Nothobranchius furzeri: one gene and its partners. The protein of the gene in region 1 purifies or fractionates together with the protein of each later gene. This does not show direct contact. Links are inferred from orthologs where the notes say so. Each region holds a gene or a part of one and is shown in the gene's direction. Other genes may lie near its edges. The genes, in order: ppme1, ppp2r2aa, serine/threonine-protein phosphatase 4 catalytic subunit B and serine/threonine-protein phosphatase 2A catalytic subunit beta isoform.

What was found.
Region 2: the proteins of ppme1 (region 1) and ppp2r2aa purify together in Homo sapiens (affinity purification with mass spectrometry; 3 studies listed by BioGRID and IntAct, with this or other methods). This does not show direct contact. The link is inferred for Nothobranchius furzeri from reciprocal best matches to the Homo sapiens genes PPME1 and PPP2R2A.
Region 3: the proteins of ppme1 (region 1) and serine/threonine-protein phosphatase 4 catalytic subunit B purify together in Homo sapiens (affinity purification with mass spectrometry; 3 studies listed by BioGRID and IntAct, with this or other methods). This does not show direct contact. The link is inferred for Nothobranchius furzeri from reciprocal best matches to the Homo sapiens genes PPME1 and PPP4C.
Region 4: the proteins of ppme1 (region 1) and serine/threonine-protein phosphatase 2A catalytic subunit beta isoform purify together in Homo sapiens (affinity purification with mass spectrometry; 6 studies listed by BioGRID and IntAct, counting the BioPlex papers as one, with this or other methods). This does not show direct contact. The link is inferred for Nothobranchius furzeri from reciprocal best matches to the Homo sapiens genes PPME1 and PPP2CB.

The regions. Positions count from the first base shown.
Region 1 is NC_091750.1:48,881,817-48,886,640, forward strand, and holds part of ppme1 (protein phosphatase methylesterase 1), read left to right. Parts: intron 1-1,527; coding exon 1,528-1,579; intron 1,580-1,750; coding exon 1,751-1,905; intron 1,906-3,466; coding exon 3,467-3,557; intron 3,558-3,644; coding exon 3,645-3,710; intron 3,711-3,782; coding exon 3,783-3,909; intron 3,910-3,992; coding exon 3,993-4,122; intron 4,123-4,229; coding exon 4,230-4,274; intron 4,275-4,348; coding exon 4,349-4,413; intron 4,414-4,510; coding exon 4,511-4,578; intron 4,579-4,824. UniProt on the Homo sapiens protein: Demethylates proteins that have been reversibly carboxymethylated. Demethylates PPP2CB (in vitro) and PPP2CA. Binding to PPP2CA displaces the manganese ion and inactivates the enzyme.
Region 2 is NC_091757.1:37,262,054-37,267,816, reverse strand, and holds the start of ppp2r2aa (serine/threonine-protein phosphatase 2A 55 kDa regulatory subunit B alpha isoform), read left to right. Parts: upstream 1-2,169; 5' UTR 2,170-2,385; coding exon 2,386-2,392; intron 2,393-2,711; coding exon 2,712-2,789; intron 2,790-3,373; coding exon 3,374-3,471; intron 3,472-3,671; coding exon 3,672-3,837; intron 3,838-4,021; coding exon 4,022-4,134; intron 4,135-4,348; coding exon 4,349-4,526; intron 4,527-5,763. UniProt on the Homo sapiens protein: Substrate-recognition subunit of protein phosphatase 2A (PP2A) that plays a key role in cell cycle by controlling mitosis entry and exit. Involved in chromosome clustering during late mitosis by mediating dephosphorylation of MKI67.
Region 3 is NC_091758.1:11,562,163-11,567,483, forward strand, and holds part of serine/threonine-protein phosphatase 4 catalytic subunit B, read left to right. Parts: intron 1-3,133; coding exon 3,134-3,235; intron 3,236-3,328; coding exon 3,329-3,502; intron 3,503-3,595; coding exon 3,596-3,722; intron 3,723-3,910; coding exon 3,911-4,100; intron 4,101-5,321. UniProt on the Homo sapiens protein: Protein phosphatase that is involved in many processes such as microtubule organization at centrosomes, maturation of spliceosomal snRNPs, apoptosis, DNA repair, tumor necrosis factor (TNF)-alpha signaling, activation of c-Jun N-terminal kinase MAPK8, regulation of histone acetylation, DNA damage checkpoint signaling, NF-kappa-B activation and cell migration.
Region 4 is NC_091750.1:36,847,307-36,853,398, forward strand, and holds the start of serine/threonine-protein phosphatase 2A catalytic subunit beta isoform, read left to right. Parts: upstream 1-1,734; 5' UTR 1,735-2,024; coding exon 2,025-2,126; intron 2,127-3,230; coding exon 3,231-3,269; intron 3,270-5,030; coding exon 5,031-5,201; intron 5,202-6,092.

The DNA.
Region 1 (4,824 bases):
GTTAGAGCCATGTGATTTCTTCACTGATATCAGGTTGTGAATTTGGGCGGGAGACGAGCCACTTCTTAAAATAAAATATCTATATGAGGCTTAAAATGAATAATAAATAAAATAAGTGCATTTTGAGTTTACGAAAAAAGATTATGTATTCAAAAATACAAAATTTGACCTTTATTTAATCGAGGAAGTTGATGCATACTACTAGTTAAGTTATTTTAAAGTGTTTCTGGTTAAGTTTAATACTAGAGTCACACTATCTTTACACTTAAAGTGAATTTAAAACCAAATTTACTATACTGTTATTGAGTAAAGGCAGCTTGGAGTGTCTAATACCAAAAGCCTGTGCCGTCTTTGACTGTTTTCCTGTTTAAACCAGTAATGTTCCGATGGCCACAGAGAAACGGCTTGTTCTGAAACAAGTTGGTTTATCGTGTCATAAGCTTAAACACCACTTTAAATCTGCATGCCCCAACCCACTTAAACGTCTGTTTATCGCGGTGATGCTAACTGCAGAACAACGCTAGCCCGAGCTACTGCTAACGTCCTTGTTGGACAAGAAGAAGTTGTCAAAAAAAGATTATTGAAGCTCTCACATTCCAGGATGTACTGAAGATCCAGACTGTGATTGAGTGACAGATGGAGCCACAGCTTGCCATCTTTTTCTTCAAACCCCTTCACTTGAAACCTAAAGAGTAGTTTGTGCTTCTGCATCAGCTCCACAAGTGAGAGACACACACGCATTGACAGAGACGTTTTGCTCTCGGACTTCTCCGTCTCTTTGGGAGTGTTGTAAAGCAATTCCTCACCAGGACAACGAAGGGCGTAGCGCTGTTCTGAGGTATCCTGTTTTGTATCTGGTTAAAGATGGCACATTTACTATTGTGTTTTTGTTGTGTTTTTTGTATTTCAGAGACTTTTTAACATGGAAAAATGTGTCCCTCATTCTCCTCCACCTCTTCATGCGCTTACACTTAATCTCTAAAACCACAGTTCCCGTCATTTCCATCCACGAATAAAACGCTTGCTGCATATCTTTTTACCCCTCCAGTCACAGGTGAATAAGACGTTCATATAGAGTTTTTCCTTGAGGTATTCTTTAAGCTGCTACTATCTTCGGCTGTCTTTATGCTTTTGAAGGTGCAATGGCAGTGCTGTTGACGAAAGCAGCGTCCTGACCAATCACAAGCTTGCATTCTACGTCTCGTTCGACAGATGTTTAGAAAAGTGGGCTCGATTACGTCGATAATAGCGTTGCATGTCTCCACACAGACGCAGAAGCATAAACTAGGCTTAAGTTCCCTTAACTTTGTGTGACTTTCAGCTTGCAAGTACGAAGTTTGGCCGAATGTTTCTGCCCCTCAGTTGACTGGTCCATGTCTTGTCAATCATAAATGTACCCAACCTATCAGATAACAGATGGGTGTGGCTGTGGGTGTGGCATTTTACTGAGCTGCAGGTCCTGGAAGCGTTGAACTGGAGGTTTTAATTGAAGTGGTTTATTATGTTAATGTGCCTTTTTCTTTGCAGGAGACACCAAAGTTAAAAATCCTGAGGATCTTTCTGCAGACACAATGGCAAAGTAAGTTCTTGTCCACTGACTTGTAGAGTTTAAACACATTCTGCAGGTTTCTGCGTTTCATTTTCAGGCTAGTTTAAAATAAGTTGTTTGTCGTTGGTTAATATCTTAACTGAAAAGAGAGATTCAGTAAATATAACAAGGCTAACCGGCTGTTCATGTGTTTTCCAAAAGAGATGTTGGTAAAGTGGTGGAGGCACTCTATGGAGAGAGCCCACCTCCCATCTTGATAATTGGCCACAGTATGGGCGGGGCCATTGCAGTTCATACAGCCAGTGCCAATCTAGTGCCGTCCCTGCTTGGGCTGTGTGTCATCGATGTTGTAGAAGGTAAACTCTCGTGCTTTTTTCTTTGTTGCATCATATCAGAGCAAAGCTCACAAAGATTTACCTTCACATAGTTTTAGGAGCCCCCCCCCCCCCCCATGCTGTCTGGCAGTGCATTCAGAATTGGTGTCTGGGTGCCCTTAGAACAATTGCCCAAGAGAGAAAAGAAAACAAAAACCACGGCATCGACTAGGGCTGGGCGATATGGGCCAAAACTTATATCTCAATATCGTTTAGCTGAATTCCGATAAACGATTTATATCTCAATATTTTCCCTCCTGTAACATATTAATAAGTTAACTGCCTTCAAGCTGTCTATAATGATGTACAGCAAACTAAATGTATTGATTCTCATCAAACATTGACCCGAGTGCCCAAGCTAATCGCTAGCCGCTATGCTTGCAGCTTGACTAGTTTTATCGATAAAGTCATCTCGTTTCTTGCTTGAAATTAAATCGATATTTTTTTAAATATCGATAAATTGCCCAGCCCTACCATCGACCAACAAATGCACGTTTAGTGTTCCTGATAAATACTAAAATATCATAAGTGGCAGCCACAGACTTGTTAAGTGTGTGTACGCGGTTCTGTGGTTTCTCCCTGACATTATTTACTACGGGTGTGGAGGACCCCAGGCCCGTCCCTCCCAGGCCCTGAAGCAGACCATGGGGAATGATAAGAACTATGGGCCATTCCCATCTGTACCTGGTTAGCCCAGCCCGGATAGCTCCAGTCGGCCCCAGCCAGGCTCGGTTGATTCCACACATCCTTGCTAAGTGTTATACAAGGAATGCAGTCAGACATTTTCAGCTTCTAGGCAATCAGCATGATAATGTATGATAATGAATTGAGCATGCCTTAAGCCCATGTGGGCTGATTCTACCGACCAATCAGAGGCTTGCTCTAATGGAAGGTGTGAATTTGCTGTCAGCCATGGGTGTGTTGGCCCTGGTCAGCCTGAAGCAGACCACCTCAGAAAGAGGGCTGAAAAACAGTCTCATTGCACCCTGAAAAAAGGCAGGCCACCAAGATATGTAAGCAAGACCACATGCCACATGCCGGGCCGACCAGGTACAGATGGGAATGGCCCAAAGGTCACCCAGGACCTCCCAAGAGGACAGGGACCCCATGATGATCACCACAGGAAGGACCACAGTCCTCCCCCAACAAAGGGACCGTCGACCAAAGGAGCTAACCAGCAGCTACAGTACAGAAACCTCAGGGGGCTGCAGTGACAATCCCACAGACCCCACCTGCAGCCGGCTCCCCCTGAGCAGACTGGAATATGGACCCAGAGACCCGAGACTCCAGGGCACCTCGCCACCCGGCAGGAACCCAACCAGGCCAGGAAGCACCAGACTCCACCAAGCATCTGCTGGAAGGGAGCCAGTGCACACCCAGTCACCCAGCCCTTACCAAGAGCCACCAGCGCCCTAGATTCTGAAAGGGAGTTTGAAGGGGGGAGATGGGCCTGTGTTGGAGTCTAAAGGATGTAATATAGAAGCCAAAATGAAACTAAAGATCTAATAATGAGGTCATCAGTGAAAGAGTTTTTCTTCTCTAGGTACTGCCATGGATGCTTTGAACAGCATGCAAAATTTCCTCAGAAGTCGGCCAAAGACGTTTAAGTCTCTGGAGAATGCCATTGAGTGGAGGTACACGTTTGATCTTCGAGAGAGCTGCATCATTTCCCCCTGCAGGTGTCGAATGTTGATGTTGGCTAACGTTATCTTTTGTTTTAGTGTGAAAAGTGGCCAGATTAGAAACCTGGAGTCAGCTCGGGTGTCGATGGGAGGACAAGTGAAGAAGTAGGTTCTTGTTTTTTGTACGTTTAGATTCTGATCAAGTATATTCACCCGTTTCTCTTCTTCTAATCACAGATGTGAGGAGTCCATCAGCAGCCCAAGTGTTACCAACAGCCTGGGTGAAGGCATCATCGAGGAAGAGGAGGATGAAGAAGCAGAGGAGGAATCAAACAAGAAAAGAATGAAGGAAGATGAACACCAGGTTCAGTTTGTGACTGCTTTTCCTCTCTGATGTGACCTTTTCCTTGTAGAAACCCACTGAAACAGGCCGAGTTCTACTTCCAGGTCAAAAAGGAAAGCGTCTTCACTTGGCGAGTGGAGCTGTCAAAGACGGAAAAGTATTGGGAGGGCTGGTTTAGAGGTCTGTCAGCACTCTTCCTCTCCTGCTCTGTGCCAAAGCTGCTTCTGCTTGCAGGTTTGTTCTTCGTCTACCACTCAGATTTTTTTTTTACCTGATGTTCTGAAAGGTGGTTCAGGGAGAATTTTACCACAGTTTCACTCCTGACTTGTTCCTTTGTCCAGGAGTGGACCGGCTGGACAAAGACCTTACAATTGGACAGATGCAAGGTAAATGTGCTGCATTATATCAGTGTGTTGTAGAATGTGTTTGTCTCATTGACAGCTGCACCCTTTGTCCACAGGGAAGTTTCAGATGCAGGTCCTACCTCAGTGTGGACATGCTGTCCACGAGGACGCACCTGATAAAGTAAGAGTCCTTCACCTGCACCGATAAACCAAAGGAAGGGGTTCTGTTTGACCCACAGAGTCTTCAGCTGTTTAATTTCTCTGGTGTTTTCTGTTAGGTAGCAGATGCTCTCGCAACATTTATGGTCCGGCACAAATTCACCGAGTTTAAGGAAGGATTTCTGTGGTAAGTGAAACAAAAATCAACACAAAACCCATCACAGATAACGCAAAACAGCTCAGAGGGATAGCTTTGTATCTGTGGGGAATCATTACCTCACTTGGGTTAGGTGGTTCTGGGTTTAATGGATCTGTTTTGTCTATCGTAGCGAATCCATCTGGATCAATCCGCTCTTATGCTGTTGGGTCCAGGGAGAATGGGAACTAGTTTATTGTAGGAAAATGTATAAAATGAAAATTGTCTTGAACTGGT
Region 2 (5,763 bases), on another chromosome or scaffold:
TCTTCACTCTCCAGGCTTTCTTAAGTTCTTCTTTGAGGCCCTGGTACATCTCTAGTTTCTCATGTTCCTTTCTCCTGATGTTGCATCACTTGGTATTGCCACATCAACCACAAAGACTGTCCTGTGTTGTTTGCCCACCACCACAATATCCGGTTGGTTCTCCATCACAATTGCGTCAGTCTGGATCTGGAAGTCCCACAGGATCTTGGCTCACTCAGTTCTCTACCACCTTAGGGGGTGTTACCCACTTTGACCTTGGGGCTTCCAGTCCTGCACAGATGTTTCTGTACACGATGCCAACCACTTGGTTGTGGCGTTCCATGTATGCTTTCCCTGCCAGCATCTCACACTCTGCAGTTATGTGGTGGATTGTCTCAGGGGCCTCTTTGCATAGCCTACACCTTGGGTCTTGTGTGGTAGATCTTGGCCTCTGTTGCTCTGGTGTTCAGGGCCTGTTCCTGTGCAGCCATGATGAGTGCTTCTGTGCTGTCCTTCAGACCAGCTCTTTCTAGCCATTGGAAGGATTTCTTGATATCAACCACTTTAGTTATCTGTTGGTGGTACATCCCATGGAGGGGTGTGTCTTCCCATGATGGTATTTCCAGCACCTCCTCCTCTATTCACCATTGTCTGAGACATTCACTGAGCATGTTATCTGTTGGGGCCATGATGTGCTTATGGATCTTTCTTGGCTATCGTATTGAACACTGTTGCTAACCATTTCATCATTCTCCCTCTCCTTAATAACACTTTACTTTCTTTGACATTGAATGTGCTACTACTAGTTTACCCATTTAATTATAGATTCACTAGGATAAATACAATAAAGTTTATCTCTCACCAAAAAGAATATTTACTAAGAAATCACAATGTAACCATAGAAACACTACTTGGTGTGTGTGTGTCTGTGTGTATGTGCGTGTGTGTGTGTGTGTGTGTGTGTGTGTGTGTGTGTGTGTGTGTGTGTGTGTGTGTGTGTGTGTGTGTGTGTGTGTGTGTGTGTGTGTGTGTGTGTGTGTGTGTGTGTGTGTGTGTGTGTGTGTGTGTGTGTGCTCTGTCTTCTTGATCCCCAGTGAGTCATGGCAGATGGCTGCTTATACTGAGCCAGGATCCTCTGGAGGTTTCTTCCTGTTAAAAGGGAGTTTTCCTCTCCACTGTCACTGCATGCTTGCTTAGTATGAGGATTGCTGTAAAGACACTGACACCAGTCAGTGACTCGATGCAGCTTGCTGGGTTCCTTACAGGAAACTTTTTTCTGATTGGCTTAATGAATTGACCTGTATTGGAATGTTTATGTGAAGTGCCTTGAGACGATGCTTGTCGTGATTTGGCGCTATATAAATAAACTTGAATTGAATTGAATTGAATTTCATCCTGGCCAGTGGCTCTCACACTCACTACTCCTTGGCCTCCTTCCTTATGGCTAGTGTACAGTCTCAGGGTGCTGGACCTTGGATAGAACCCTTGATGCATGGTTAGGAGCTTCTGTGGTCTATACTTCTTCCTTTGGCCAGCTTATTATTCCTGCAGGATATCTGAGTAATGGCAGGGTGTAGCTGTCTATTGCCCCGAATTTTACTCATATACATACATGTGTGTGTGTGTGTGTGTGTGTGTGTGTGTGCAATTCAAAGTTTTTATATTGCAAGTTTGTTCAAAATTAAAATATTAGAAGTAAAAGAGATGTGATGAGTAGAAAATGTAAAAAAATGGTTTAAAAAATGTTCAACTTAAAATTTAAGTGATCATATTTTTCACACACACACACACACACACACACACACACACCACCACCACCACCACACACACGCGCGCGCGCGCACACACACACACACACACAAGCTAATTGAAGGAAATAAAACTGTTAGTTCGATTTTTTGCACAGTAACAATCCACAGGGGCGGGATGAATGCGTTACATCTGTAAACAAGAAAATGTTATGTTTACTGTTCGACGTAAAATAGATTTTGGCGGGGGGTTTTATTTTTATTTTTATTACATATCATTTTGCACATGATGTTGTTTGACGAACTTTTATATTAAAACTATTAGAGCACCGTGTTCTCTCTGATTCTGAGCAACACCGCCCGCGCGGCGCCATTTTGGAAGTGCATCGCCAGAAGCGGCAGTTGCGAGGGAAATCTCAGAGTGGAGTGCAAAGTCTGCAAACCGGTAGTGAAGGTTGTGTGTTCTTCCACTGAAAGCTGTTTAGCTTTCGTAGTATCTGCTGGATCGAGGACTTTTGTGGTTATTTATAATCCTGCACACCCAGCAAAGCTTAATTCCTCCTCAGCTATTCGGACAGAACCACCCAGTCAGTCATCCGATCTGGGTCCAGTCCAGGGCCTGAAGCAGTAGCAGGAACCCCAGTCTGAACCCCTCACCATGGCAGGTAAAAACAGACCGTCACGATGAGCTTGAAGCATGTTCTAGTATCAGTATCATTCGGCACAGAGGTGTTGTATCTATTACTCTCTACAAGCTAGCACAGGCTAACCAGTTAGCATGCTAGGATACTACGAATTAAATCCCCAACAGGCTTAAAAAGTGACAGCCCCCAAACCAAACCCATTAACACTCATGCTGCTCCCTCACACACAACATGCAGTTCGTGTGAAGCATATGTGAGCTTTTCTCTTGTCTAAGGGACAGTTTGAATCGAGTTAGCTCACGGCTAATGGGAAGTTGAAACAGGGCTGTGTTTTTTGCAGGACCCGGTGGTGGGAGCAGCGATGTGCAGTGGTACTTCTCCCAGGTCAAAGGCGCGATGGACGATGATGTAGCAGAAGGTAAGTGCGTATTGGTGCTTGCACTGATTTCTGATGTGATGTGTGTGCACATCATCAAATAACTCGTTTGAGCGTTATGTTTGCACTAAAGTTGAAAGAATCCAGTCCTGTTTGGGTGTTTTACTGCTTTAGATTCGTTGAGTGTTTCATCATATTTACTGCAAAGTGAAGGGAGTGCTAAAATGTGCCTACATAATACTTAACAGACATATTTACATATAAAAGCCTGGAGAGTTGTTTACAGTAAAGCTTCACTCTGAGAACATGTTCTGCCCCAGTCTGTCTCCTTTTGTTTTATTGAATGGACTGTACGGGTCAGGTCGTATCAGGCTCTGTATGTGTTGGGTTTGGACTGGAACCAGCTCAGAATAGTGCCACTATGTGATTACTGAGAACAGCTCCAGATGGAAAGTGGTTTAAGTGTTGCATTTAGTTTTCACTGATCTGTTTAGTTTCCACTATGTTTCATTCAGGTTTTACGATAACAGGTGGGAGACTGAAGCTAGCACACCCCATCAGCAATTTTATGGAGTAGTTTTGTACGTTATTAATTGTTGTTGTTAATAACTATGCTATGTTGACAGCTGACATCATATCTACTGTTGAATTCAATCACTCTGGTGAGCTGCTTGCCACTGGTGACAAGGGGGGGCGTGTTGTCATCTTTCAACAGGAGCCAGAGGTAGGTGATTGGTGAAATAACGCACCTGATTGCATGTTTTTCACAGTTGATAACTTCATTATTTACTGTTTTATTTAGTTAGGAACTGAGTAGCCTGAGTCTCAAAGACACACAAAAAGTAGTTGTTCTAAACATATTTTTTCTTTAATCTTAATTCTACCTGAAGTAAAGTCTGATTTACTTTGTGTGTTTTTGTTCAGAGTAAGAATCAGGCACAGTGCAGAGGAGAGTACAATGTTTACAGCACCTTCCAGAGCCACGAGCCCGAGTTTGACTATTTGAAAAGTCTTGAGATCGAGGAGAAGATCAACAAGATTCGATGGTTACCTCAGAAGAATGCTGCACAGTTTCTTTTATCAACAAATGGTTAGTGAGCTACCAGACCCACTCTGCTTTCATTCACTACAGTGGGACTGAATTTGAGACACACTGTCTGTGTCACTTTCTTGTCTGCCAACAAGAGATTCACTATAGTGGTCAAGTAGTCATGATTGCAGCACATTTTTTCCACTGCTTAAGATGCCTGACCTCTGCAGTTTCTCGCCGACAGATAAAACTATAAAACTGTGGAAAATCAGTGAGCGTGACAAGAGAGCAGAGGGCTATAATTTAAAAGAAGAGGACGGGCGATACAGAGATCCCAATTCTGTCACAACACTACGGGTGTGTATTGAACTGTTCTTATCACACAGAGTGAATTGTAATCATTCTCCCTTTATTGATTTCATTTTTGGGGGCTTGGGTTATTAGCCTCGGTGCTATTTTTATTACACAAGTAGTTTAACACATCTGCCATTTTCTCTTTCAGCTACATGAAGTAATTTTAATATTATAATTTTTATATAATTGCTAACTCTCGTTCCACATGCTTCCTCAGGTACCGGTGCTGCGGCCCATGGATCTGATGGTGGAAGCCAGTCCCAGACGAGTGTTTGCAAATGCTCACACCTATCACATCAACTCCATATCAGTAAACAGTGATCATGAGACCTATTTGTCTGCAGATGACTTGCGCATTAACCTTTGGCACTTGGAGATCACCGATCGCAGCTTTAGTATCCTTTTTATGTTTAATTCTCACCTTTACATGATTTATTTTTCTGTTGGTTGTTTCATGAGAATGAAAAATGGACGAATTGTTGAGCCTCTGAAACCTGCTGTATGTAGGGATGGATTTTTGTGTGCAAGTATTATTGATTATGTGGTCAAGTATACAGGTGAAACTCAAAATTAGAATATGGTACAAAAGTCTGTTTATTTCAGTGATCCAACTTAGACTGAGAGACTGTCTAAAGGCTCAGGAACCCTTTGCAGGTGTTTTGGATTCATTTGAGATTTCTGAATGTGGGGTTTTCATAAGCTGAAAGCCATAATCATCACAAATATAACAAAGTCCTGAAATATCTGACTTTGCATGGAATAAGTATCATGTATTACAATCACCTAAAGGATTATTAGGAACATACTAATATGGTGTTTGACCCACTTTCACCTTCAGAACTGCCTTAAAGGGGTATTATAGAAGTTTGACAGCCAAAACATGTATAGAAATAATAAATTTCTTCTTCATACATTCTCCTGCAATGCCCTGGTCCTGTAGAATGAGCCCTGACATTTTTACTGTGATTGCCTGTTTTTCTGTAAAATCAAAGAAAAAGAGAGCTGCTCGGGTCGAGCAGGCTGCTTCTTGAACATTCACGCTCAGGCATCGCCTGTAGCATTTGCCATCAGTAGCTTTAGCAGCAGAGAGAGAGGTAGTGCCAACTCAGCGACTTTGTCGCTGTTCCTAACGCCTAGTGATAAACCTAGCTACATTTCTGAGGACCCTTAGCTACTTTCTTCTAGATATTTCCTGCAAATTAGCAACAAAATAGCCATTTTCGCTCCGAACCGTTCTTTGACCATTGTTTCAGCTGTTATCAACGATATAAATGTTACAGATACAAATGACGTCACTGGTGCTTTAGCTCACCTAGTAAGATGTTGGACTCTCGTGCAGAAGACCCGGGCTTGATTCTCAATGTGAATATGGTTTAGTTAAGAGTTTATTTTTTACATTGATGGTATATTTTTTTACAGTAAGATGCTCAAATTTTTATTTGAGACTCACCGAACGGCATTGAATTCACAGATAAAAAAGATGTGGGTTCAACTTTCATTTTGGATTAATTTTTCAAGCAAGGGAAGGGAATTATCTGAGCATGCAGGAAGACTGACCCATCATAAACCTTTGTTGGCTGTGCTGAAGAGAAAGGTACAGAACCAAATCATTTAATTAATTAGCTGCATGTT
Region 3 (5,321 bases), on another chromosome or scaffold:
TTATTCTGTTTCATGAACCAGGGTGACTTGAACTGATAAATTAAACTGGGAGGAAACTTTTGTCTACCTTTAGAGTTAGATGTTTGCTTGTTTCTTCTCCTCAGAGACACAATGGACACAAGAAGATCATAAAAGACAAAATGTCCCCAAAGGAAGGGTTAGTTAAGGGGAGGTAGCTGTTATTAAATAAAATCCTATAAATATAATTAAATTAAATCCTAATCCAGCCCACTGCCTCCTGCTTGTATTATTATTATTATTATTAGCAAATACAAAATAAACATCCATCATTTTATTGGCAGTTTATGGTTCTTTTAGTGTTTTCAGCAGCAGAGACTGGTTCCTGCTCCATCTCATGTATGAAATGAGACCACTGGGTTCAAACAAAATAACGAACCAGGCCAAACATGTTATTTATCTTATTTCATTGATAAATGTAGTTTTTAAAGCTCAATTTTTAAGTTGTTAATTTAAAAGCAAATATTTTAAATATGATTAAATACCTGCTAAAAAGCACTAGGATGTGGGAAATGACATCTGCTCACTAAAACTTCTCAGTGGGAGTCCCCCAGACCAACTCCCCCATCACCGGATATCCTCTCAGGGGGTGGCTACTTTCCTTGATGTGGAGTGGGTCTCATCTTCTTCACCCTTGACCCATTTTCATGTCTGAGTTAGAAGGCACAAAGGGATGCCCACATATTCCACAACCACCAAACCCAGTGTGTCTGATGGTGTGAGTGTAAAATTGAGATAAAGCACATGCATGCTCATTATTAATGCAGGCATGTGCTTTAATAATGAGCATGATATCGATATCGGAAGTAATTCGATTTTGGCTCAAAAATACTGTATCTGACTATATCGGACTGCGTCAGAAATCTCCGATATAAGCAGCTGGTTACGGTTCACAATTTTGCAACCAGTGGTTAAAAAAAAGCCCCCTTTTTCACACTTACTGTTATTAGCTCTTGCACACGTTCCATTGCTGTTTCTCACCAGTATCAGCTGATGGAGGGCTCTTGCGCCGTTCATGTCAGGGGGCACGGTAGGGTCGGGGAGGGGGGGCGGGCATGACTCTTAGCCTGGCGGGTGGCCAAGCTTATAAAGCGCTGGGGGAAACCCTGCAGAGTGAGGGACTCTGGTTGTGCATCAGAATTATATTAAAAGAGTAAAAAACACACTATAATTAACGCTTTTTCAGTCTACTGTTTTTAATATAAATCTGACTCACAACTAAGGTCCCACATTCGTTACAGTTATGAACAACAAGTAAAGAGGGAGTGGGATGACCGCTGGAATGTCCGTCAGATTCAAAACCGGTTGCACAGCAGCCCGTCTGACATCAAATACACAGCTCTGCTTGTGATTGCACGCTCATAAGTGCATTCTGGAGGCCACGGTTTTTAAAAACACCAGTTTTCTCGTATTTAACTAAACAATTACACAGACTGTTCCTTATTTACTAGACAAATAAGGAGTCAGACGCAGCAGGAGCGTTATGACCGACTGACCTGTTGCTGGCCTCGGTTCAGGTTGCTGCACCATGTTCTGCCGGGCTCGGTGCTTTGATGTGAGGCTTGTGTTCCGGGAATGAAATAAGAATAAAATGCTCCCAAACTGCTAACCACTCCATGATTGAGCACAGTTGTTGGGTCATGTGACGAGCTCATTTAGTCTAACATATTGTGATAGCAGAAGGACTTGAAGCAGTTAACCTGGCAAACTATTTTACCTGGTTACAACATTAACGGCTATTAACCGTTTAACTAAGTACATCCCTGGTTCATAGAGCACGGGCAAAGGTCTGTGTGTGTCGGGGTGGTTTAAGGTTAACTGACCATTAAAGCTTCTTTCTGGAGTATTTCTCTTATCCGATGGCACCATCTACAAGCTTATCACACAAAATCGCTGTTCCTCTGTTTTTTTAAGCTTCACGTTCCTGTTCATATATGTGCTTCTGTAGCCGACAAACGGCTAAAACACGTTGTTTTCAATTCAAAAATACTTTATTAATCCCAAAGGGAAATTGATTGCTGTAGTAGCTCAGAATAATAATAATAATAATCAAGTCATCAAAGAGTTATTGTATATTACAATGGCTGTTGGCAGGAAGGATCTCCAGTAGCGGTCAGTGTTGCAGCCAAACTGAAGAAGCCTCTGACTGAAGACACTCTTCCGTTGTCGGACAGTCTTGTGAAGAGAATTATTTTACGAGTATTATTGTCATGTTGTGTTTTCATATATTTATATTTTAGAGACTAACTTGTCCGTGAAAAGTTCATGAACTCAGCATCGGCCGAGGTATTCCTTAAATGTGAAGCGTCTAAGCGGTAGTCTAATGCTATTGGTTAGTTCTGGCCGGCGCTCAGTTTCCTACTGCACGGAGCTCTGCGGGGCAGGGGGCGTGCTTGGCAAAAAAAAAAAAGATGTATCGCTTATATTATATCACAGTACATGATGAGATCATCACTTCTACGGATTTCAGAAAAATCATTCATTGTTTCTGAAAGGGGAAAACTCCGGAAAGCTGCTTTAAGCGTTAAAGGTGTCAATAACTGGTTAAAGAAATTGTAGAAAACGTGCATCCCCTTTTAATACCCAAGAATTGAAGTTTTACAGTATTCTGTGTTTTAACGTTACTGTTGGCCAATAAGGCGAGATGTTTCTATCGTAATATTGAGCCTTTATTTTTGGTCCACCACGCCTCAGACAAACTCCCTGTGAGACTGTTTTCACACAGAAAACGAGGCTGCATTATTGAAGCTGTCAATGGAAATGCTGCTTGGGATTTGTGTGTGTGTGTGTGTGTGTGTGTGTGTGTGTGTGTGTGTGTGTGTGTGTGTGTGTGTGTGTGTGTGTGTGTGTGTGTGTGTGTGTGTGTGTGTGTGTGTGTGTGTGTGTGTGTGTGTGTGTGTGTGTGTGTGTGTGTGTGTGTGTGTGTGTGTGTGTGTGTGTGTGTGTGTGTGTGTGTGTGTGTGTGTGTGTGTGTGTGTGTGTGTGTGTGTGTGTGTGTGTGTGTGTGTTAGTTTGGAAAAGCGATGCGACATGGGGTCACTGCCGACTTAGCCTATGTAATAGCCACAGCATGAACTGTTGAAACCAATAAACTAGATAAAACCTTTCCTGGCAGGTTGGTGGCGATGTTCCAGAGACTAACTACCTCTTCATGGGTGACTTTGTGGATCGAGGCTTCTACAGTGTGGAGACTTTTCTTCTGCTTCTAGCTCTTAAGGTAATTCTGGTCTTTGGTTTGTTTTTCACTCTTTATGACATTCTTAGTTCAAGTCATTTTCATTCATCTTTTGACCCTTGTTTGGCACCTCAGGTGAGGTATCCAGACAGGATAACTCTAATCCGGGGAAACCACGAGTCTCGACAAATTACCCAGGTCTATGGCTTCTACGACGAGTGTCTTCGCAAGTATGGCTCAGTCACCGTTTGGAGATACTGCACTGAGATATTTGACTATTTGTCCCTGTCTGCTATCATTGATGGCAAGGTGAGATATGGACGAGTTATTTAAATTTTCTGCATCTTTTTGTATTATTTTGGGTGTCGGTCTCTAAAGTTTTGTGTTTTCTGTGCATCTCAGATCTTCTGCGTGCACGGTGGTTTGTCTCCCTCAATCCAAACATTAGACCAGATCAGGACCATTGACAGAAAGCAGGAAGTGCCCCACGACGGACCCATGTGTGACCTTTTGTGGTCAGACCCTGAAGGTATCTGCAGGCTTTTGCTCTCTGAATAAATAGTGTGAGAGTGGCTTAGGGATGAGGAGTTTGCCCTGTAACTGGTGGGTTGCTGGTTTGAACCCAGGCTCTGTCTGCATGATAAACACTCATGTTGGTGTTACAACTGAACATACAACAGTAAGTCTTCGTGATCCTATGTTTCCTGTTTCTGTCAGACACCACAGGGTGGGGCGTGAGTCCCAGAGGGGCTGGCTACTTGTTTGGGAGTGACGTGGTGGCGCAGTTCAATGCTGCCAATGATATTCACATGATTTGTCGAGCACACCAGCTGGTGATGGAGGGCTACAAGTGGCACTTCAACGAGACGGTGCTCACTGTGTGGTCTGCACCCAACTACTGCTACAGGTGGGTAGCCAGGTTACATTGCATTAGTCGTTCCACTAGCAGAGGATGTAGATTACAGCACACAGTGGGAAAAACAATAACCTGCTGTTTGTCCTTCAGCTGTTTTCACACTTAAAGCAACATATAAACTTCCTCGCTTTTCATTCCTTCTGATTAAAAGCTGAATTAAAACCCAGCTGCAGCCTGCGGTAGCTAGCGCTTTCCCCAAAAAGCTGTCCCTGCTAAGAAGCCGCACAGCTCTGTATCTCCCGTTGCTGCGTGTGAGGTTCTTTAACCTTACCAGGTTTGGGTCCACTTCACTAAATGCGATGGCTAGGAATGGGAACCTTTGACCTTAAAATCAATATGGTACAAACTCCCAGTACCTACTACTGGTACTTAACAGTACCAGTTTTCTATACTTTTGAGTGTTTAATAATTATTAAAATCGCTTTTTTATTAAATATATATATTATTTTCCCCATATATAGCCATATTTGATGAATAACATACAACAGTTTGTATTTTATCATCGTAGTGTTGTACAAAATTCTTCAACATGAAAACTTTTAACAAGTTACTAAATGACGCAAAAATAAAACCAGCTCCATGGACCCTGATCCTCTCCTCCGCCCTCTGGAATAACTCTGATGAGGAGACCGTGTGTTATAAACTACAAATGAAACTAAAACACACTCCGATACCATACAACAGTTTGTATTTTAATATTGTGGTGTTTCACAAACTAAACCAGCTCCGTGTACTCCTCTTCTTTCTCCTCTGGACAAACTGTGTGATGGTGGGTTCTTGTAGTTTTATAAAATGTGTGATGGTGGTTCTTGTAGTTTTATAAACTATGATGGTGGGTCCTTGTAGTTTTATAAACTATGATGGTGGGTTCTTGTAGTTTTATAAACTATGATGGTGGGTCCTTGTAGTTTTATAAACTGTGATGGTGGGTCATTGTAGTTTTATAAACCGTGTGATGGTGGGTCATTGTAGTTTTATAAACTATGTGATGGTGGGTCCTTGTAGTTTTATAAACTATGTGATGGTGGGTCCTTGTAGTTTTATAAACTATGATGGTGGGTCCTTGTAGTTTTATAAACTATGATGGTGGGTCCTTGTAGTTTTATAAACTATGTGATGGTGGGTCCTTGTAGTTTTATAAACTATGTGATGGTGGGTCCTTGTAGTTTTATAAACTATGATGGTGGGTCATTGTAGTTTTATAAACTATGT
Region 4 (6,092 bases), about 12 Mb from region 1:
TCCAAAGGATTATAAGCTTGTTTACCTGTAATGGAACAATATTTGACAGTTCTCCTCTTGACATTATAAATATACAAAACATATGCTTTCCTTTTACTAAAACACCTTGACATTGAAATGTAGGATTGTTGCGTAATAAAACTGATGGAAATCTGAAGAGTAGTTTAATCAAACAATGTAGGAAACCGGACTGAAATTCAGAAAACACAATCTGTATAACTGCAACATTTCCTCTCACAGTCACCCTGTTTGCCGGGTATAGTTTGATTAATGAATTTCAGTCACAGACAGTGGACACAAAAACATGTTTTTATTGTGGTTTAAAATATATGGAATTATTTTATGTTATTTTGTGGCAAAAAAAAGTTGCAGTTTCTCATTCTGTCTGCAGCCTGTGTGTTCCCATAATGTGTTGCCCATGCATACATGGATTGCCTCCCACTGACCAAAAACTCAAGACTCAAGACAACTTTATTAGTCCCCGAGGGGCAATTTGAGACAATTCATGTAAACCTTTGGCTCACACACACACACACATACACACACACACATGCACACACAAATACACATGCATACATGTAACTATATGCACGCACACATACAAGTTATGCACACTCCTATCGGCACTAAGAATTAAGAAGAAGCACAGCTCTGGGAACAAAGGAACTCCTCCTCTGTGTTTTACAGCATGGACATCGAAGTTGGCGTTTGGAGGGCAGCCACTCGAAAACAGTATGAAGAGGGTGTAATGGGTCTTTAATTATTTTCTATGCTAACTTCCTGTATGCTGGTCACATTGAGAAGTTAAGTTTTGCAGTGGTAGTCCAATGATCTGAGAGCACACCTTGACGGTGCTTTGTAGACGGTTTCTATACTGCAGGCTGACAGAATAAAACCAACAGGGGATGGAAAATGTGATAACACTCTCTATAAAAGAATAATAGAAAGTCAGTAAAATGTCCTTCCTGTCTCCAAATGAATTCAACTTCCTCAGGAGGTAGAGTCGTTGCTGGCATTTTCTGAGGATGTCCTCAGTGTTGGAAGCGAATTTCAGGAGGTGATCAAAGGTGGTCCCTAGATATGTATACTCTTCAACCAGCTCCACTGGCTGTCCATGAATGATAGTGGAGGCAGCGGTAACCAGCGCTCTCTGTTTGTTTGAGAAGGACACCATCTCCTTAGTTTTGGTCACATTCAGCTCCAGGCCTGCTGTGTCACACCAATCCACAAACTCCTGCAGGACCTGCCCGTGCTAAACAGTAGGGCCTGACAGAAGCGACAGGAGCACAGTGTCATCAGCGTATTTTACCATATAACTGTCAGGCTGGATGGATCTACAGTCATCTGTATGGAGAATGAAGAGTAGAGGAGACAACACACAGCCTTGTGGGGTGCCAGTGGAGGTGTAAAGAAGGTCTGTTAACTGGAGACAATAAACTGTCCCTAGATGTAATTGAATGTGTGACTGGTTGTTTGCCTTTATGTGTCCCTGTGATGGACTGGAGGCATGTCCAGATGTCCTCTGTCTGTCCCCTGGTGACTGAAGTGGGTAAAGATGAGTGAGTGAGTGAGTGAGTGAGTGAGTGAGTGAGTGAGTTACAAATAAACCACATAATGTGTACCTAGAGCAGCAAGCCCTGGTCTAGGATCAGCATCCCGGAAAAGACGATGAACTTGTTGTAGTTCGTTACTTCCCCGCGTGGTGTCGCTGGTGTTCCGAGTCTGCGCGCTGCTGAAGTGCCCGGATGTTGTTGCAGCTAGCTCTTTTAGCCTCTGCGACGCCGCTTCGATCTGCCGCAGCGGAGACTTTCGAAGATTTCGACTCCACTGGCTCATTTAAACTGGTTTTAATGTCGGTAACTTAACATTGGTGGTTTATCATGAGAGAAGTTGTCTGAAAGGGTCGTTATTTTTAGGACTAATCGAATATTTTTCAACCGGACTGGATCGGGTTAACAATACGACAAGCTAAAGGCTGAATCAGTTCGCGTAGGGACCGGACGCCGTTTTTTATTACAGCTGAAATGGAAGATAAATCTTTTACTAAAGAATTAGACCAATGGATCGAACAGCTCAACGAGTGCAAGCAGCTAACGGAAAACCAAGTGAGGACCCTCTGTGAGAAGGTAAGCGCTCATTTGATTCCGCTGACCTCAATTTATAAGCGGCCTGGTTCTCAGCGGCCCCGACTAATTTCTGGAAAGGAAGTAACGTGTATTTTGGTTTTTATCTCCCTATTGACCCGTCAGCCGCAGGTCATCCCTGTTTATTAGTACTAGAAATGAGAAATTATTCGTATTGTTTTTGGTGTTTGAAGATCAGAGGCTAGTTTTATCAGTGATGACGGTTAACCAACAGTCGTAGTTTGAGCACCAACAGGCCGAAAATCGCACCTTAAATGTCTAGTAAATAGATGCAGCCCTCGTTACCATCCACCCGTTTTTTTATTTGACGTGGTTTCCCTCGGTTTGTTCCATGCGAAATATTATGTTAAAATCAGTATTAAGTCAGCGTCTTTAGAATTGGTTTGTTTGCGTACGTGCGGGGTTTCGCACCGCACCCTGTCTGTATTGATTTATCGTTTATTGCATAAACCCATCCTACCTCCCAGTTATTAGACGCGTCCGCATTTTTGCTGTCGCATAATAAATTAGTTCTTATGACTTTTTGCATCGTGTTATTTTTTTAAACATACATTATTATAATTGAGTGACTTTAGCGGTTTTTCAGCTGAAATCAGGAACCAGCTGAGGATTCAACAGGCCAGATAAACGTGGAAACTTATGGAGCTGCAAAAGATGATTTTTATTTATTACTAAAGTAAATAAACAGCTTTTGTGTATATTTATGTCGTTTTGCTGAGCAACACTTTGAACTAAAGAGTTAAACTATCAATCGATTTTGATGCCTTTAATTATGTTTCCTTTTCATAATTAAAGCTTTTTTTCCTGTATTATTTTGTTATTATTGTGAGCTTACCAAATATAAAGAATCAAAAACTGAACCACTGCAGAGAGGCTCTTTATTCTGATGTTTTTGCACATAAACAACAACAAAAAACCAGGTTTCACCATACATCCTGTTTGTTATTCTACAGGAACTGGGGTCTTGCCTGGCTTCCAGCATGTTTTCACCCATGATGCAATAATTCTGTCCTTTTTAAACTTTTGGTTATGTAAATAAAAACACACAAATGTGACCAGTTTAATAAATTTTTGTGTTCTTTTCAGGCAAAGGAGATTCTGACTAAGGAGTCCAACGTTCAAGAGGTGAGTTTGGCCCAAAAAAATCCTAATAAGTCGCCTTCTTCAATACTGCATACATCCGAGTTAATTTGCAGTTTTTGTTCCTGTTGGGGGGGGGTTATCTATGAGGAAATGGAAATCCATTTGAAGAGATTATTCCGTTTGTTTCTAAAACGGTCAGGGTCAGTTTGTGTTATTTTATCATCTTGTGTGTTCCAGTCACACCAGAGTCTCTGGGTTGTATGTTCAAACTTTTAGTAGAACAAACCAGAGGGGCTGGCTTCCCAAACTCAGTTCCTCTTTAGTACCGACCAAATATTTAGTAGGAACTGGTACGGAATAAATATGTATTTTTTGTTGTGAAACTTCAGTATTGTCTTGATAAATTGGCCCTAATAATGAGCCGAACAGCTCCGCACGCCGTGTGACTAAAGGAAGCTGCTCTCTCACACACCATTTATGGCAGGAGTTAATGTAACATTTCAGATAAGATTTGTGTTGCTAAATATGACAAAACAGCAATTTAATAAAGCGCAGCGTCGTTCCTGGTGTTGGTCTGTGAGCCGAAACATGAACCGATTTCATCTGCTGCTGCCAAAAAAAAACAACCAGACTCAAGTCCACAACCCTCCTGCGCTGCAACAGCAACACGGCGGCGTCACCAGGATTGTTTTTTGTTCTGCCTCTTTAAATTTGTATGTTCTAGGGCTGCACGATATTAGGAAAACCTGTGATATGCAATAACGGTGATTAATATTGCAATGACGGTATTACTTGCGATAAATATAAACTTAATTCAGGAACAAAAATAATCAAAAGCAAATAAATAAAAAAGTGACAAAAATATCATAGAAATGAAAAAAGCTAACTTAAAAAAGTTTACTTTTGATTTGGACTAAAAGGTAAAAACTAACTTTTTTTTATTCATTAACTGCCAACCATTTCCTGATCAGAAAAGCCCTTCACTTCCAGCATTTTTACTCCTTTTTTTTATAGAGTGACAGAATGTTGCACGCTAGGATGATGTCGACACCAAAACAACCAAAACAAAGCGGAGACTCACCTCTTACATCAGGAAGAATCCGCGTGTTTCGAGCGTTATCCGTTCTTTAATAATACGTTGTTGAATTGTGATCGTCAGAAGCTTTTCCGGTTCACGCCTCACTTTTTTTACAGCAGCGGCCCAAAACGATCTCCTAACACGTGGATGTTCTGCTTCCTGATCACGTGACGTATGCGGATGAAGATCGGCTTTAGAGCTGAGATGTTTGTTCTCACGGTGCGGGGGCTCGTCCGACGCCCACACAGTAAAAACATGCAAATGACGACTGGCAGTTAATGAGTTAATCTTATAGTTTACTGTTTGCATTGAAAGTTTGCCATTTAGTTGAGTCTAATAAACATTTAAGTACTTTTTATTAATGATGCGTACGTTCTGACCCTTCGTCTCTCCGAGCGCGTTAGGAAACTTGGCCACTTTAGTCGCTTGTTTTGGGTTGTAATGCGAAACTTAAAAGGTCAACGTATCAAGTCGGAGACTCTTGGATAAGTGAATCGATTTTTCTTCCAAATCAGTGAACTGGAACAGGATCGGGGGTCCAATAACTGATCTGGTGGAGCTCACCACCACACAAGAGGTGATGTGCAGCAAAAAGCACAGAAACAGTAATTAAGGTAGTTTAGGCCTTCTACAGAGATCATCAGCAGCGTTCTGTATTCATGCTGAGTTAACTGCCGTGTGGTGGATGTTGGAGTGACCCTGTGATGGTGTGACACCCCCTCCAGGTGAGATGCCCGGTGACGGTGTGTGGGGATGTCCACGGTCAGTTCCACGACCTGATGGAGCTGTTTAAGATTGGTGGGAAGTCCCCCGACACCAACTACCTGTTCATGGGAGACTATGTGGACAGAGGCTACTACTCTGTGGAGACGGTCACTCTGCTGGTCACGTTAAAGGTAAATCACAGGTTAATGAGCCACATTCTGCCGTTTGACCAGAAACTAAACAGTTTTTAATCGTCAGAAAAAAACTTTCATATTTTCTAAGTTCGTAGACGTTTGTTTTTCTCCTGTTTTTGATCAGATTTAATGTTCAGAAACGCTTTAAAGCTGTGAGGGTAACAGATCTGATGAACAAATGTCTGAACTCGTTCTTCCCACCACTCCAAATCTTCTAAAAATAATCCTCGTTAGTCTGATTTTCTTTGAGAGGCGTCTCTGAGGTTTTGGGTCAACATGAAAACAACCTAAAGCCAAAAGGAGGCCTGTTGCTGCATTTAAATCTGTTTCTCGTGAGGTGGTCCCAGGTGGGCCGAGTTACGGGCTCCACTTTGTAAACCGTCGGGGTCGATGTTATTTCTGACATGCAGATAAAATCTGTTTTATTCAGTAAATCTACAGTTCAGTGCTGCAAAGTTCAGAGTTTTTCACCCAGACGGTCACCAACGCCAACATCAGACGCTTGTGGGTCTGATGTTTGTGTTGGATGCTGCTGTCGGTGTGTTGATGGGTTTACCGTCCAGCTTTACTGTATCGGTAATAGGGTTGTCACGGTAACCGGTGTAGCGGTACACCCTGGTAAAAAAAAAAAAAGTTGACAATAATAACCGTCTTGTTTTTAAAACACATATTATCTCGGTGGGTTACCGTGGCTGCGGTGTAGGCGCGGTGACCCTTACCAGCCACCGTATCATCTGCTGAAGTTGCCGGCGGCACATGCGCACTTTGTTGTTTACAACCAAAACTTTCTTGAAGCTAAAGCTGAAATAATGTCCAAAGGAGGAGACGGCAGCACTCAGGACATTTATTATCCCTCAAAGAAGACAAAGTGGGAAGTACGGGCATCTT